Linked DNA regions of Oryctolagus cuniculus. Each later gene encodes a partner of the first gene's protein in a complex. Links are inferred from orthologs where the notes say so. Each region holds a gene or a part of one and is shown in the gene's direction. Other genes may lie near its edges.

Region 1 (3,563 bases):
TAATATTCTAAGTGATTGTGCTGTGCAGTCAGACTTGAGAACCTCTGCACTAGAAAGTGAGTTGCAGGGCCAGCGCCGTGGCTCACTTGGTTAATCCTCCGCCTGCGGCACCAGTTCTAGTCCAGCTCTCTGCTGTGGCCCGGGAAGGCAGTGGAGGATGGCCCAAGTGCTTGGGCCCTGCACCCGCGTGGGAGACCAGGAGGAAGCACCTGGCTCCTGGCTTTGGATCGGCATAGCTCTGGCCATTGCGGCCACTTGGGGAGTGAACCAACGGAAGGAAAATCTCTCTCTCTCTCACTCACTCACTTACTGTCTGTAACTCTACCTCTCAAATAAATAAAAATCTTTAAAAAAAAAGTGAGTTGCTTAAACAGTTTCATATCCAGCTTGGCAAACAGGTGCTCAGCAAGGAGTGGCAAGGTAAAGCATAGCAACCGTTGCCTTCAATAATGACCTGTTGCCAGTAATTATTTAGTGCACTAAGTGATCTGACCATCCTCAGTGCGTTAGATAAAGGAGAAATAAAATAATTGTGCTAACAGAACTAGACACCTGTGTGCTGAGTTATGTGAGATTTGGGACCTTTTTAATTTACTATTTATAAATCATCTTTCCAGAATTTTGTAGAATGTAGCTCTAATGTTTGTTTCTCCTTTTCTTTTTCTCTTCTTTTCTTTGATTTATTTGTTTGAAAGGTAGAGTGACAGAGAAAGGCGGGAAAAGAGAGGGAAAGAGATCTTGTATCCCTGATTCACTCCCTGAAAAGCCCGCAACAACCTGGTCTGGTCCAGGCTGGAGCCAGGAGCCAGGAACTCCATCTGGGTCTGCCATGTGGGTGATAGGGACTCAAGTACTTAGGCCTTCATCTGCTGCCTCCCGGGGGTGTCAGCAGAGGAACCAGTTTAAAGCAGCTCTCTGATACAGGAGGCAGCATACCAAGCAGTGACTTAACCCACTGTACCACAGTGCCTGCCTCTGGCATCTGTAATTTTAAAAGCAGTCTTGGACATGCTGTACCTTAGCCCTGCAATTCCATTTCTAGGAAATACTTGGGGCAGATACCTCAAGATATGTGTAGAGATATGTCAGCTCTGTTGGTAGTGTTTACAATGATTGGCTATTATATTCAATCATAGATTTGCTTCTGCAATTAGAGTGCATTGGAACTGCATATGTATTCCTTTGCCCTAGCTCAAAAATGAACAATTTTGTCTTTCTTTATGAGAAGTGAATAAAAGATTGAGAAAGATGTCAAGAATGTTAATCTGTTGAAGTCCCTCCACATAAACAGTCAATAACATTTGCCCTTCTCCCCGTATCAGAACTCATTATAAGCCTTTAGGGGAGTTGAATTTTTGAGGGGGATTGAGGGAAAATACGATGCCATGTTTATATGCAGGTACGTCCTTTGACATGGAAACTTTTATACCTTTTTAAAATTTCTTAGATGTAGGTCGTTTCATGGAGCAGCTGGTCGATCCACAGACCTGGTTTCATCTATTGATCTACAGACTCTGGCTCTGAAGCAAGCTCATTGTTCTCATCGTCCGGACAGCGTACTCGACCCCTGTTACCATGCTGGACTTTCTAGCCGAGAACAACCTCTGTGGCCAGGCCATCCTGAGGATTGTTTCCTGCGGCAATGCCATCATTGCTGAACTCTTGAGGCTGTCGGAGTTCATTCCTGCTGTGTTCAGGTTAAAAGACCGAGTTGATCAACAGAAATATGGAGATATCATATTTGATTTCAGCTATTTTAAGGTAATCTCTTTCTGTAGCATTTTTGTTGCTATCTTTTCTATACAAGCATGTTTTCCTTGGAACCATGAGACTCTAAGAGGTTAGGTAATTATAGAGAGATTTACAGAGCAAAACTTTTGAACCAAATGTGGCACCAGCTATTTTTTTTGTTAAGATTTAGCTATTCATTTGTTTGTTTATATATTTATTTATTTGAAAGGCAGAGTTACAGAGAGAAAGAGAGGGGTCTGCCATCCGTTGGTTCACTCCCCAAATGGCCGCAGTGGCTGGAGCTGGGCCGATCTGAAGCCAGGAGCTTCTGAGCGTCCCATGTAGATGCAGGGGTCCAAGGACTTGGGCCACCCTCCACTGCTTTCCCAGGCCATAGCAGAGAGCTGGATTGGAAGTGGAGCAGCTGGGACTTGAACTGGCGCCCTTATGGGATGCCGGCACTACAGGAAGCAGCTTTACCTGCTATGTCCCAGTGCCGGCCCCTCACCTATTAACTTGAAAATCAGATGACAGTACTGCATGGAAGTCTTCCCATGATATAATCAAATTTTAAAAAGAAAAGTTTGCTGTTCTGTATTTCACGTTGACTGTTCTGCTCTTCAAAGCATGCCTGTCTTGGTTACAATTCAACTTCATTACTGTCAAAGGCATTTTATATCTAGGCTTCTGTTATCTTCATGACTTTCTGTTTCTCTGCTTTAAGTTTTTGATATTGAGGAACATAAGGACAAATTTTTCAAAAGACTACTAAGAAATTGTTGCCAACACATATGCTTTTGTTGACATTTCATGTAAATGTGTTTTTCTTCGTAGGGTCCAGAGTTATGGGAAAGCAAACTGGAAGCTAAACCAGAGCTACAGGATTTAGATGAAGAATTTCGTGAAAACAACATAGAAATTGTGACCAGATTTTATTTAGCGTTTCAAAGTGTGCATAAATATATTGTAGACTTAAACAGGTATTGATGAACTTAGTAACAGCCTATTCTAATAGTAAACAGTGAAGAGGGAGAAGGGTCACAGTAGAAAGTACATCTTTTTGTTACTACCAGATTTGCTATTTGCAATTGCCTTTTCTTTCTTGTAGCAGTAGTCATCTTTAATACTTTTGAATCTTATAATGCCTGTTCCTGTGAAGTATCATAATAAACTTAGTATATAGGTTGCAGTCCTATAGTTCAGTAGCATATTCCAGCATATTATATATAGATGAGACATTTGGGGAGGGGAAGGAAAGGAACTTAGTCTTTTAGTTAGCTTTGTGTCTTCTGCAGTTCTTAATAATTCATTATCATTAGCTTTTAAATAACTATTCCAAGCTGTTATGTCATTATTCCTAAGATACTTGGAATTCATAAATCAGGACCTTTTACTTGGAACATGCATAAATATCAACCTGTGGCCCTAAATCACTATGAATTATGGCTTATAATGCTATTTTTTAAGAGCATGAAACACCACAAACTTGTCGAAGGCCAGAATATCTGGTATCCTGTCTTGTTTTTTAAAAGTTGTTCTTTCTTCAAGATGTTCAAGTTTCTGTTAAAACAAATAACTTGCTCTGGGGCTTCGTTCGCAGATATCTAGATGACCTCAATGAAGGGGTCTATATTCAGCAGACAATAGAAACTGTGCTTCTCAATGAAGATGGAAAGCAACTTCTGGTGAGTAATGGTGACCATTTAAAACGGAAATTCAAGAATGTCAAACTTAGCGTCATTTTTTTCCTTGTAAGTCACAAATATATACAGAATATCATTCTTTAAAGAGAAGCAAAACCAACTGATAATTATCTTCTAGCCACCAAATCT
Region 2 (4,048 bases), on another chromosome or scaffold:
TTTATAATTCTGGATGGTGGGACAAGTTAAAATGCAAATTTCTGGACTCATTCAGCATAAGTCTTGATGTAGTTTATCTGGGGTTAATCAATTGCTGGAATGTACATTTTCAGAAGTACCACCCACTCCTAAATAATTAAAGCAGGAAATCTCTAAGACACTTAGAGCAACACAGATCATAGTATAAAAATTGGCCTTCACTGAGATTCTCCTTTTTTCCCACCTCATTTCTTACTTTTTTCCACTTCTGGGACTTTCTGCTTCCACAAAAGCAAAAATTTTGCATTTCCTTTATGTACCAAACCCCCTCACACCTCTCTGCCTTTGTCCGAAGGTCTACCACAAACTGCCTACCATCTCCTAATGTGACATGGGTGCTGAACAGCTGCCGTGGCCAATGTTCTCAGAGGACCCAGGAGCACCTTTCCCCTGTAGCACCACAGCACTTTGTTTCCGAGAGGATGCAGGTGTACACAAGTGTTTGCGTGTGCCTCTCTGCTCACCCACAACTTTCACAGTATTTTGCTTGCACGTCTAACTCTGCTATGTGTGTCTTCCCTACACCATATACAGTTCTTGAAGTCTTCGTCTCTCGGTAGGGACCACCTTGACTGGGTTCCAAATTCTGGTTACGTGACTTGCCCCACGTTGCAGAGCTGGAAAATCGTTTTGCATGGTCAAAATCTGGGCCAAGATATTCAAATTCCAGGTGCAAGGTCTTTCCGGAACACTGTGAGCGCGTTTCTGACGACACTGCTACAGGGTGAGCACCCTGCATATTTTACGCCTCACCGGCAGCGTTTGCCATGGTTTTATCACAGTGTTAAATGTCTTTGGAGACAGGTCTTACCTCCTCCAGAGCAGGAGCCTCCTCAGTGTGCTGACTCAAGCTGACTCAATCTTTGTATTCCGCGCAGGCCTAGCGCGTAGTAGGATTAAAAAAAAAAAAAAAAAATTGTTCAACCAATGACACTGTTTATACAACAGACAGAGCTAAGTAGGGATCATTTCAAACGGGCCAATTCTTGATCGTACTTTCCACGCTTGCCCCGTCCCCACCCCTCACCCCAACATTCAAGAAGTTAACTGCTAGAAAGGCTGCAGCCCGAGTCCCCGACCAACGTCACAATCCAGACCAAGAACTACCCGCCCCAGAATGCCGAGCGAAAGTGGGCGGGCTTTCCGTGAGCCGAGGTTGTGATTGGCGAGCGGAGGGGTTTCCTTCCGGTGGGAAGGGCCACGGAGGCGGGGACTTGAGGAGGTGTTGCGACGCGATTACCGGGTTGGGCGGGGCCCTTCTGGGAGGGGTGTGTGGGTGAGCCTGGGTCCTCCCGCCCGCCGAGGAGATGGATGAGGATGGGCTTCCACTCATGGGGTCGGGCATAGACCTGACCAAGGTTTGTAGAAGACCGAGATGAACTTCCGGTGACTGGGGAGGAGGGGGCTGGGGAAGGGACGTCCGGTTCCCCGGGAGACCCCACTTCTCCAGGCCCTATCTTGGCCCTGGGCCCCTGTTCGGCTGACTTAGGAGGCTGAGTGCCACAATCACTTTCCTTGAAGAGGGACCCTCTCGAGTTGACTTAGTTGATGAGGGTCCTCTGTGAGCTCTCACTTCCTGTGTCATTGCCCGCCGGAGACAGACTGGTTGCGACCTTTAACCTCTCTTTTATCTAATCCCAGGTTTTGTGTATTTATATATGTTGGTTTAACCTGCTAAAAATCCGTGCTCGTGAATCTAGGGCGCGTTGTAAAAATGTTTCTGCAGGTGACACCCCACCCACAGTTTGGGAAAACAAGCTAATGACTATTCGTAGTCCAAGAAATTCATATCACACGGCAAAATGTTCCGCTATGATGTCTGAAGGGATTGGGCGATCTACGTTCCTCCTGCCAAATCATGTTTGTTTTTACGTAACACAGGTGCCAGCTATTCAACAGAAAAGAACGGTGGCATTTCTTAACCAGTTTGTGGTGCACACTGTACAGTTCCTCAACCGCTTTTCGACAGTGTGTGAGGAGGTAGGTCTTGTGATACTGGGTTGTGGCATAGTGTAGCCGTCTCTTTGCCCTTCTGCGGTTGACAAATGGAGGAAAACACGAGCTACAGTCTCTGCATTCATCTACTGTGACCTCCCATCACACAGCAAATCCTCTTTGATTCTGTTAGGCTCAGTCCTGTACCTACCTCTGCTGAGCTTGGGATCCAGAGACCTCTGAGTGAGAGTTAAATCCAGCTTAGTGAAATTAAACAGAACAAAAGAGAATCCCCATCTTTTATTTGCAAAGCTATTTGTTCTCCTACCCAAAGATTTATATTTGAGAGTACACATTGTTTCTGTTTATAATAAAATTATTTTACATTCCTTCATCCAAAAGATGGCTAAGGGGTGGTAGCCCAGAAACATAACTTTGGTGTCAAATCTCATTTTAGGAGTAAAAACATTTTCTGCAAATGACTTGAGAAGTGAAGATTCAGTACCCAGTTACAGCTGTCTTTTAAAAAAACTAAAAAACATGGGGAGGAACACGTGAAACATGGTTTGAAATTGAGTTTAAGAAAAGAAAAAGAAAACTAAATCATAGTACTTAGATAATTCACAAGTGAGTCAGTTGAACATTCTGTCTTATAAAAAACGTAAAGGTTTACCAAAATAGAATTTGTGATAGCTGCATTTTTATTAATAAAAGCTGCATGGAGACAGGAAAACTGTTTTAAGATTATTTATTTATTTATTTATTTATTTGCAAGGCAGAGTGGCAAAGAGTGAAGGAGAGACAGAGGAGGAGAGAGGTCTTCCATCTGCTGGTTCACTCCCCAAATGGCCACAACAGTCAGGTCTGGGCCAGGCTGAAGCCAGGAGCTCCATCCGGGTCTCCCACATGGGTGCAGGGGCCCAAGTACTTGGGCCATCTTCTGCTGCCTTCCCAGGAGCATTACCAGGAAACTAGATGGGAAGTGCAGGGGTCAGGACTCAACCTGGCTTTCAATATAGGATGCCAGCATCCCAAGGAGAGGCTTAACCTGCTGTTTGACAATGCTAGCCACTAGTTATCAAAATGTTTTCTGCTTTCCCATTAAGACAAAAGAAAATGAAATAGATAATCGATAAAGAAAGGCATTCAATTCACTGCATTTTGTATTAATAGGCCCAGAAACCATCTCAGGACTGTTAGCAGAGAGGAACAAATGCTCCATCCCTGTAGTCCTGGTTAAAAAAGAAAAGCAAGGCAGGTGCCACGGCTCAATTGGCTAATCCTCTGCCTTGCAGCGCCAGCACACCGGGTTCTAGTCCCAGTCGGGGCACCATATTCTGTCCCGGTTGCCCCTCTTCCAGGCCAGCTCTCTATTGTGGCCAGGGAGTGCAGTGGAGGATGGCCCAAGTGCTTGGGCCCTGCACCCCATGGGAGACCAGGAGAAGTACCTGGCTCCTGCCATCAGATCAGCGCAGTGCGCCGGCCGCAGCAGCCATTGGAGGTTGAACCAACGGCAAAGGAAGACCTTTCTCTCTGTCTCTCTCTCTCTCACTGTCCACTCTGCCTGTCAAAAAAAAAAAAAAAAAAAAAAAAAAAAAAAAAAAAAAAAGCAAAACAAGCAACACACCTATGAAAGCAACTTGATTGTGTTGCCCTAAGGCAGGGATCACCCCTACCAGTTTTCAGTTCCTGCGGAATGAGTCTCTGACAAAGTGAACAAGAATCTCATTGATGAGAGCCTTGTGAGTCACTCTTTCTGTTCCTCTTTCAACTTCTCTTGCAACTGTTCTAGTGGTATCCCATTTCTTAATACTTCCTGAAACTCTAGAGAAAAGTCTGTTGACCAAAAGCTCATGTAGTTTAAAGGTAGTCCATTGCCTCTTCTCCTTTTTTTTTTATCTTAAGGGGGAAGATAATATTATTTTAATTGACAAAAGTTATATGTTCTTATGGTGTACATGAGGTTTTGGTATTTGTATACATCATGGGATGGCTAAATCAAACTGTCTATGTATGTATGTATTACCTCACACACTTATCCTTTCTTTTGGTGAGAACACTTTAAAATCTACTC
Region 3 (3,563 bases), on another chromosome or scaffold:
GCCTGATTATGGTTAAATGATTAAATAAATATGTTGGTAAATATAGGCATTATGGGAGTGATTATTGTTATGCTGAAGATCTGAAACCTCCATTTTAACAAAGGTTAGTTTATTGAAGCAGTTTACTGTGTATAGAAGCAACATTTTAAAGTACTAGTTCTGTGACAACACAGATTTTTACACCTGCGTATTTTTGGGGGGGAGGGTAATAAAGTCATTTAGAACTAGAACATAGAGACATTACGTTGTCTAAGGCATTGTCCAGACAGTTACATGGTAATGGGTTGTATGGGCTACTGCTTTTAAAATTATTTAATGTATTTGGAGAAGATGGAACACTGCATTATTGTTTAACTTTGAAGTTTTTCAGAAGTTCCTACCTTCCAAAGTAATAATTAACAATGCTTTGTTGTGACTTTTGAGATTATTTGAAGTAAATGCTCTGTAACTCATTTCTTGAACTTACCACATACCGTTTTAACATTTAAATTTAGAAATTCATGCTGAAGTCCAGCTTAAGAATTACGGGAAATTTCTCGAGGAGTATACGTCTCAACTGAGAAGAATCGAGGATGCGCTTGATGATTCTATTGGAGACGTCTGGGATTTCAATCTTGATCCTATAGCATTAAAGGTTTGATTGAAATTTCTTTCTCTTTATGTTTATGTTTTCAGGACAAACTAGATCCTCAAAGCAGCTTTTTAAATGGCAAAATATTTTTACTTGAAATCTAAGTATTAAAAGAAACTTGGAAAAGATTTTAATTTCGTTTTCGTTAAGCCACCTAGGTGTTTTTAATTTGCTATTTTTTTTTTTAAAGAATGATAGAGACTCAAAGCCTTTATTGTTAAAGAATGGCACAAAGTCCAACTTTTCAAACTGGCCTTTGTTTTTTATCATCAAGAAGAAGAGGACAGCTGGATAGAATATTCAGGCTTTTATTTGTTTCTTATTGAGGTTATTTTACATACATGGAAATGCATGGATTTTAAGAATATTGGTGAAAGAGTTTTGCCAGACATGCATACCCATGTAACTCATATCCCAATTAAGATGTAGTATATTCTCATAATTTCCAGAAAGTTCTGTCCTGCTATCTAGGTGATCTTGATGTGTGAGTACTTTTTTAATGTGTATAAAATAAATCATTCTTACTCTGTTTCCATTGAGAAAGTTCTTAGTCTGTCATTGAAACCGTGGTCTATTATTGCTTAAATAATAACTGATATTTTCTGAACACTTACCACATAACTTGACATTGTCCTGGGATCACACGCATTGACTTTGTTAAGATGGTGTTTCTGAGTTTCACGTATCACTCAGTTCATCCAATCAAGTTGTACAACTCAGTGGTTTTGATGTTTTTACAGAATTGTTCAACCATTACCATGGTCAATTTGAGAACATTTTTACTACCTAAAAGAAAGAAATCTTGTACCTATTAGTAGTCCCCTCACTTCCATAAGGCATGCCATGCCAACACTTACCAGCCCTAGCCAACGTCAGGCCTCTACTTTCTGTTTCTGTGGACATTTCCTATAAGAGGACTCATAGAATATGTGGTCCTTTGTGGCTGGCTTCTGTCAGTTAGCATATTGTCTCAAAGCTCATCTGTGTTGGACCATATGTCAGCACTTTGTTTCTTTTTCTCTTGCGAAGGGCCAGTAAGACATTTTATCACAGAATGTTTACATGTTTTAGCTTTCAGTAATGGCAGTATTATGCCCCATGTACTGTCCTAACCAATTTCAGCAAGGAAGGTCCTTATTCTAAAAGCTGTAGGACTGAGAATGAGGTTAACTTTCTTTTGTGGAAACTTTTTTTTTTTTTTTTTTTTTTGACAGGCAGAGTGGACAGTGAGAGAGAGAGACAGAGAGAAAGGTCTTCCTTTGCCGTTGGTTCACCCTCCAATGGCCGCCGCGGCTGGCGCGCTGCGGCCAGCGCACCGCGCTAATCCGATGGCAGGAGCCAGGAGCCAGGTGCTTCTCCTGGTCTCCCATGGGGTGCAGGGCCCAAGCACCTGGGCCATCCTCCACTGCACTCCCTGGCCACAGCAGAGAGCTGGCCTGGAAGAGGGGCAACCGGGACAGAATCCGGCGCCCCAACTGGGACTAGAACCCGGTGTGCTGGCGCCGCTAGGCGGAGGATTAGCCTAGTAAGCCGCGGCGCCGGCTTGTGGAAACTTTTTATTGCTCATAAATACTGTCCTTTATACCTAAACATTTCTATCTTGAATTGGCCCAATTTAAGAGATTACAGCCAAAGTTTATTGATGTAACTGTATATTGATTGACTGTTAGGGTGTAGTACTCTGACCATTCTCTGACAACATGAGAATTGAAATGACAGAGGCCAGTGTTGTGGCATAGTGGGTAAAGCTGCCACCTGCAATGCCAGTATCCCATATGGACACTAGTTCGAGTCCGAGCTGCTCCATATCTGATCCAAAACCTTGCTAATGGCTTGGGAAAAACAGCAGAAGATGGCCAAAGTGCTTGGCCCCTGCTCCCCATGTGGGAGATGCAGAAAAAGCTCCTAGCTTCAGTCACTGGCTGTTGCAGCCATTTGAGGAGTGAACCAGCAGATGGACGATATTTATTTTCTTTTTAAGATTTTATATATTTATTTGAGAGGTAGAGTTACAGACAGTGAGAGCGAGAGACAGAGAGAAAGGTCTTTCTTCCGTTGGTTCATTCCACAGATGGCCGCAACAGCCGGAGCTATGCCAATCGGAAGCCAGGAGCCGGGAGCTTCTTCTGTGTCTCCCATGTGGGTGCAGGGGCCCAAGAACTAGGGCCATCTTCTGCTTTCCCAGGGCATGGCAGAGAGCTGGATTGGAAGAGGAGCAGCAGGGACTAGAACCAGCGCCCATATGGGTTGCTGGCACCACAGGCAGAGGATTAACCTACTGTGCCATGGCGCTGGCCCAGGACAATCTCATCTCTCCCTCTCTCTGTAACTGACTTCCAAATAAATGAATCTTTAGGAAAAAAAAAAAATTGATAGATTTTGTCCTCTATTCTATAGTCTGTAGGATGTTTATAGCGTATGATTTTAGGAAACCCGTGTGAAGCTCTCTGGCTCCTAGCTTCAGTTTGGCTCAACCTTGGCTGTTGGGGCCATCTGGGGAGTGAAACAGTGGATAGAAGATCTGTCTCTGTCTCTCCTTCTCTCCCTATAATGCTGACTTTCAAATAAATAAATAAATAAATGTTAAAGCAATGTGAAGCTTTGTGGCTTTTAAAGCATTATTTCTATGAATAACCTGACCTGTTTCAACTTTGGAGCTTTTTTAAAGACTTGGCTCTTGGACTATAAAGCACCCTTTGGTCATAAAAGTGTGTTTGCCTCAACTCTTACTTTAGTAAAGAAACAAAATCATCTCTCACAATCTTCTTCTACAGAAGGGTTCTTTTATCATGCACACCCATTTGCTTTATCAGGAACCTCTTTGTAGTTCCATTGTTGAGGAATTATTTTATTATATTTGCTCTTTTTTTTTTTTTTTTAAAGATGTATTTATTTGAGAGGCAGTTACAAAGAGAGGGAGAGCAGAGAGATT
Region 4 (4,335 bases), on another chromosome or scaffold:
GGCCAGCGCACCGCACTGATCCAATGGCAGGAGCCAGGTACTTATCCTGGTCTCCCATGGGGTGCAGGGCCCAAGCACCTGGGCCATCCTCCACTGCACTCCCTGGCCACAGCAGAGAGCTGGCCTGGAAGAGGGGCAGCCGGGACAGAATCCGGCGCCCCAACCAGGACTAGAACCCGGTGTGCCGGCGCCGCAAGGCGGAGGATTAGCCTAGTGAGCCGCGGCGCCGGCTATGCAACCTGTTTTAAAGTCTGTTTGCTTGCCGGCGCCGCGGCTCACTAGGCTAATCCTCCGCCTAGCGGCGCCGGCACACCGTGTTCTAGTCCTGGTTGGGGCGCCGGATTCTGTCCCGGCTGCCCCTCTTCCAGGCCAGCTCTCTGCTGTGGCCAGGGAGTGCAGTGGAGGATGGCCCAGGTGCTTGGGCCCTGCACCCCATGGGAGACCAGGAAAAGCACCTGGCTCCTGGCTTCTGCCATCGGATCAGCGCAGTGCGCTGGCCGGCCGCGGCGGCCATTGAAGAGTGAACCAACGGCAAAGGAAGACCTTTCTCTCTGTCTCTCTTGCTGCTCCTCCGCACGCGGAGGAGCCGCACCGGACCGGGCGCTTGTTGTTCCCTTTTTTTTACAAGTCCTTTCTAAAGTAAGAATAAGTAAACAGCAAACTCCCAAAGCGAGAATGAGTAGAGAGAAATGAGAAAGAACGAAGTAACGAACTTCCCCGCGAACTCTCCAACGCACTCTCCAACCAACCCACACCACTATGCCGTCTCTCTCCTCCTATATAGTCCTCCTCCGCCAATCCCAACTCGGCTGCCCACACGTCGAGCACGCCGCTCTCCTCCAATCAGGAGCAGCTCCTGCAGCTTGTCAAGTTGGTGAGAGGTAGCTGGGTAGAAGCTGTTTACTCCTCTCCTAGCGCCATATTGTGGGAGAGCAGATGCATAGAATAAGTCTTAATTCCAGTAACAGTATAGTCCGAGTTGCTCCCCACATCTCTCTCTCGCTATCCACTCTGCCTGTCCAAAAAAAAAAAAATCTGTTTGCTTGAAAATACTATTGAATCTGTATAAAAAGGAAAGAATTCATACATTTTTAATTGAAACTTGTATTATTTTTAAAGAGAGCTTTAATTATAAATATTTACAAATAATCTGTCAGATAAAACTATTAGGGAAGGATGAATTTGCCTTATAGTAACTATAGTCACTGCTTTTCCTATAATGCGTAAAGGATGTAAACTCTGAATGTGGGCCGGGGGCAAACTCCCACGCAGGTAAGGACAAGAAAATCAGCGTAGGCTAAAAGATTTGTTAGAGCGGTTTCGTAGGGCAGCCGGAGAGGAGCAGCGGCTCCGGGACCCGGGCTGGGTGTGCTGCCCCAGGGCGCGTGCACACGCACACACCCCCTGACGCTCGGGACACGGGAGACTCCGCCGCCCGCCGCGCAGGTGGACCCGGCGCCGGCCTCGCACAGTTCCGCCAGCCCACGGGCGACCTGCGCAGGCGCAGAGGCAGGGCGGTGCTAGGACCCGGCGGCGCCGCGGCGGGAGCGCGCAGACGCGCGGCGGGGCGCGGGGGGAGGAGCCGGCCCCCTGGGCCGCGCGCACGTGGGCGTGGCCGGAGGGGGAGCGCGGCCCCGCGTCCAGGGCGACGAGGCGGGTAAGGGGTGCAGAGAACTGGGGCGGGGGCGGCGGGGGTGGCGCCGGCCCAGGAGACAGCCCGGACCCCGGAAGCGGCCATGCCTCGGGCGGCCCGCGACCTCTGCCCTCGCGCGCGGCTGCCCTTAGGAGTCTCCGGCGGGCCCCGGCGGGCCCCCCGGACTTACGGACTGCCGGGAGTCGCGGTTCCGGCCAGGGCCTCGGCGCTGGGCCGGGGATCCCTGGGGCGAGGGCTCCCGCCTGCACCGGGCACCCGCGGGGGCCTGGCCGGTGCCCGAGGTGCGGTGACCCCGCGCTCTGCCGCCGCAGTTGGGGCCTGACGGCCCGCAGCGCAGGTTTGGAAGCCGAGGCGCGGACCCCAGGGACCCCACGGAGACAGGGGTGCGGTGCGTGTGCACGCCGGGGCGAGAGTCTCCGAGACGGTGCTGTAAGGGGCGGGGGAGAACGAGCGTGGTGCAGTTCACGATAAATACCTAACGGTCGTGGCAGAGTTTTTAAAATCTGGAAAAAAAAAATATTGAGCATGGCCTAGACGCAAGAAAAACACCGTTTTTAAGGATTATTAATGTGTTTGTGCCATGCATTAAAAAATAATAGAAAAACAGATAACCAGAAAGTATGTAAGAACCGGGGGTGACAGTCATGGGTTTTGGAACTGAGTAGTTAGGATTTCTGGCTGCAAACCTCCTCTGTGGAAGACGACTCCTGAGGAATCTTAAATCCCCCTGTGTCTCCTCAGCTGTCGATTGGGTCTGGGGAAGAGGTTACCCAGGATGCTTTTGCGATGAGCCCCGCAGGCAAGAGAGGTGATTGATTGGTTTACCGGCTTGGTGCTTAGATGCAGAAATAGAAGATGACAGGGGGTTTGTTGTGAAGGTACATAGCAGAAGAAAGGGGCCGTAAAATGTTAAGATTAGTCTTGATGGTTAGGGTAACGTGCAAGGAAAGAGGAACAGAGGCTCATTTCCTACCTAGACTAACGAAAAACTGCGAGCCACGTGATTCTAAAAGAAGAGAGGCAGGTATTTGGCCTGGCAGATAAGAAGCTCACGTCCCTTAACCAAGAGCTCCTGGGCTTGATTCCTCGTTGGGATCCTGCTGCCAGCTTCCTGCTGATGCAGGCTCTGGGAGGCACCAGTGACTGCTCCAGGAACTGGGTTCCTGCCACCTGCGTGGGAGACCTGCATGGAGTTCCCAGGCACCAGATTCAGCCACAAGCTGGTGTGGGTTTTGAGGGACGTGAACCAGTGGATGGGCGCTTGTTTCCAGTTGTCTCAACTGTCTCTGCCTGTCACATAAATAAAAAGTTAATGCAAACCATGTGAAATTAGTAATATATTTTATTTAACCTAATGTATCCAAAGTGGTCAATTTCAGCAGGTAACCAGTACAGAAGTTTGTTTTTGTTTTGTTTTGTTTTTGACAGGCAGAGTGGACAGTGAGAGAGAGAGAGACAGAGAGAAAGGTCCTCCAATGGCCGCCATGGCCGGCGCACCGCACTGATCTGATGGCAGGAGCCAGGTACTTCTCCTGGTCTCCCATAGGTGCAGGGCCCAAGGACTTGGGCCATCCTCCACTGCACTCCCTGGCCACAGCAGAGAGCTGGCCTGGAAGAGGGGCAACCAGGACAGAATCCGGTGCCCCGACCGGGACTAGAACCCGGTGTGCTGGCACCGCAAGGCAGAGGATTAGCCTAGTGAGCCGCGGCGCCAGCTTGGTACAGAAGTTGTTAATGCAGTATTTTGTTTCCCACTGGATCTTTGACATTCGTGGTTTTATACTTGAAGCAGAGCTCAGCTAATCACATCCCACGTGGTCGGCAGCTGCATGTGGCCGGTGGTTACCGTTTTGGACAGAGCAGGTCCAGGGGTGTCATTCCTGGCTCGCGGCCAGACTCCCAGCCCTGAGTGTTCTGCAGTCTGGTCTCTCTCTGATCTTTGTCCTGCTGCTTCTCCAAGGATGCTTAGGTCTTTGTTCAGGCTGCTCGTTCTGCCTAGGAGCCCCTCTGCACCCTCTCCTGGGCCCGCAGAGAGCCCCAGAATCTGCGAAGAGGCTTTTCCTAACTTCCTGCACCCCAGAAGGGCGGCTGGAGTGATGGCTGGGATCTCACCCCGACACCACCTGTGGGCGGGTGTGGGGAGGTGCTCACGCTCCAGTTCCTGCCCACAGGCACCATGACTCCCATGAGGACGCAGCCCAGCCTGGCCGGCCAGACCTACGCAGTGGCCCTCATCCAGCCGGACCTGCGGCGCGAGGAGGCCATCCAGCAGGTGGCGGACGCCCTGCAGTACCTGCAGAAGGTCTCTGGTGATATCTTTAGCAGGTGGGTGCTGCCCACCGTCCTGAGCAGTCCCGTACCCAGGCCCAAGAACGCACCTTCTGGCAACAGCTCCTATGGTGATTCTTGGACCCGGGGCCCAGCTGTGTTCCCTGTGCAGGAGTCGCCCAAGGCAGGAGCTCGGCCTGGAAGCTCTTTCTCAGAAGTGCCTGAGAGCTCCCTGCCTACTGTCCCGCATGTGTCCCATGGGTCCCAGTGGTGGCACTGCCTTCCCATCCATCTCGTGCTGACTTCCATCAAGGGGCCCTGTTCCTGCACTTAGTCCTGCAGCCAGCAAACACTTGCTCAGAGCTGGTGTGCGAGGCACTATGCTCCTGTCTTCAAGTACAGCGGTGAATGAG

What was found.
Region 2: WASHC5 (region 1) and WASHC3 share a complex: the UniProt entries of both Homo sapiens proteins name them as parts of the WASH core complex. The link is inferred for Oryctolagus cuniculus from reciprocal best matches to the Homo sapiens genes WASHC5 and WASHC3.
Region 3: WASHC5 (region 1) and WASHC4 share a complex: the UniProt entries of both Homo sapiens proteins name them as parts of the WASH core complex. The link is inferred for Oryctolagus cuniculus from reciprocal best matches to the Homo sapiens genes WASHC5 and WASHC4.
Region 4: WASHC5 (region 1) and WASHC1 share a complex: the UniProt entries of both Homo sapiens proteins name them as parts of the WASH core complex. The link is inferred for Oryctolagus cuniculus from reciprocal best matches to the Homo sapiens genes WASHC5 and WASHC1.

What each region holds. Positions count from the first base shown.
Region 1 is NC_091437.1:150,727,834-150,731,396, reverse strand, and holds part of WASHC5 (WASH complex subunit 5), read left to right. Parts: intron 1-1,447; 5' UTR 1,448-1,575; coding exon 1,576-1,761; intron 1,762-2,565; coding exon 2,566-2,711; intron 2,712-3,331; coding exon 3,332-3,416; intron 3,417-3,563. UniProt on the Homo sapiens protein: Acts as a component of the WASH core complex that functions as a nucleation-promoting factor (NPF) at the surface of endosomes, where it recruits and activates the Arp2/3 complex to induce actin polymerization, playing a key role in the fission of tubules that serve as transport intermediates during endosome sorting.
Region 2 is NC_091442.1:105,008,152-105,012,199, reverse strand, and holds the start of WASHC3 (WASH complex subunit 3), read left to right. Parts: upstream 1-1,226; 5' UTR 1,227-1,346; coding exon 1,347-1,397; intron 1,398-1,920; coding exon 1,921-2,019; intron 2,020-4,048. UniProt on the Homo sapiens protein: Acts as a component of the WASH core complex that functions as a nucleation-promoting factor (NPF) at the surface of endosomes, where it recruits and activates the Arp2/3 complex to induce actin polymerization, playing a key role in the fission of tubules that serve as transport intermediates during endosome sorting.
Region 3 is NC_091442.1:107,790,679-107,794,241, forward strand, and holds part of WASHC4 (WASH complex subunit 4), read left to right. Parts: intron 1-494; coding exon 495-634; intron 635-3,563. UniProt on the Homo sapiens protein: Acts as a component of the WASH core complex that functions as a nucleation-promoting factor (NPF) at the surface of endosomes, where it recruits and activates the Arp2/3 complex to induce actin polymerization, playing a key role in the fission of tubules that serve as transport intermediates during endosome sorting.
Region 4 is NC_091440.1:106,635,209-106,639,543, reverse strand, and holds the start of WASHC1 (WASH complex subunit 1), read left to right. Parts: upstream 1-1,526; 5' UTR 1,527-1,657; intron 1,658-1,858; exon of another isoform or gene 1,859-1,991; intron 1,992-3,155; exon of another isoform or gene 3,156-3,177; intron 3,178-3,825; 5' UTR 3,826-3,830; coding exon 3,831-3,979; intron 3,980-4,335. UniProt on the Homo sapiens protein: Acts as a component of the WASH core complex that functions as a nucleation-promoting factor (NPF) at the surface of endosomes, where it recruits and activates the Arp2/3 complex to induce actin polymerization, playing a key role in the fission of tubules that serve as transport intermediates during endosome sorting.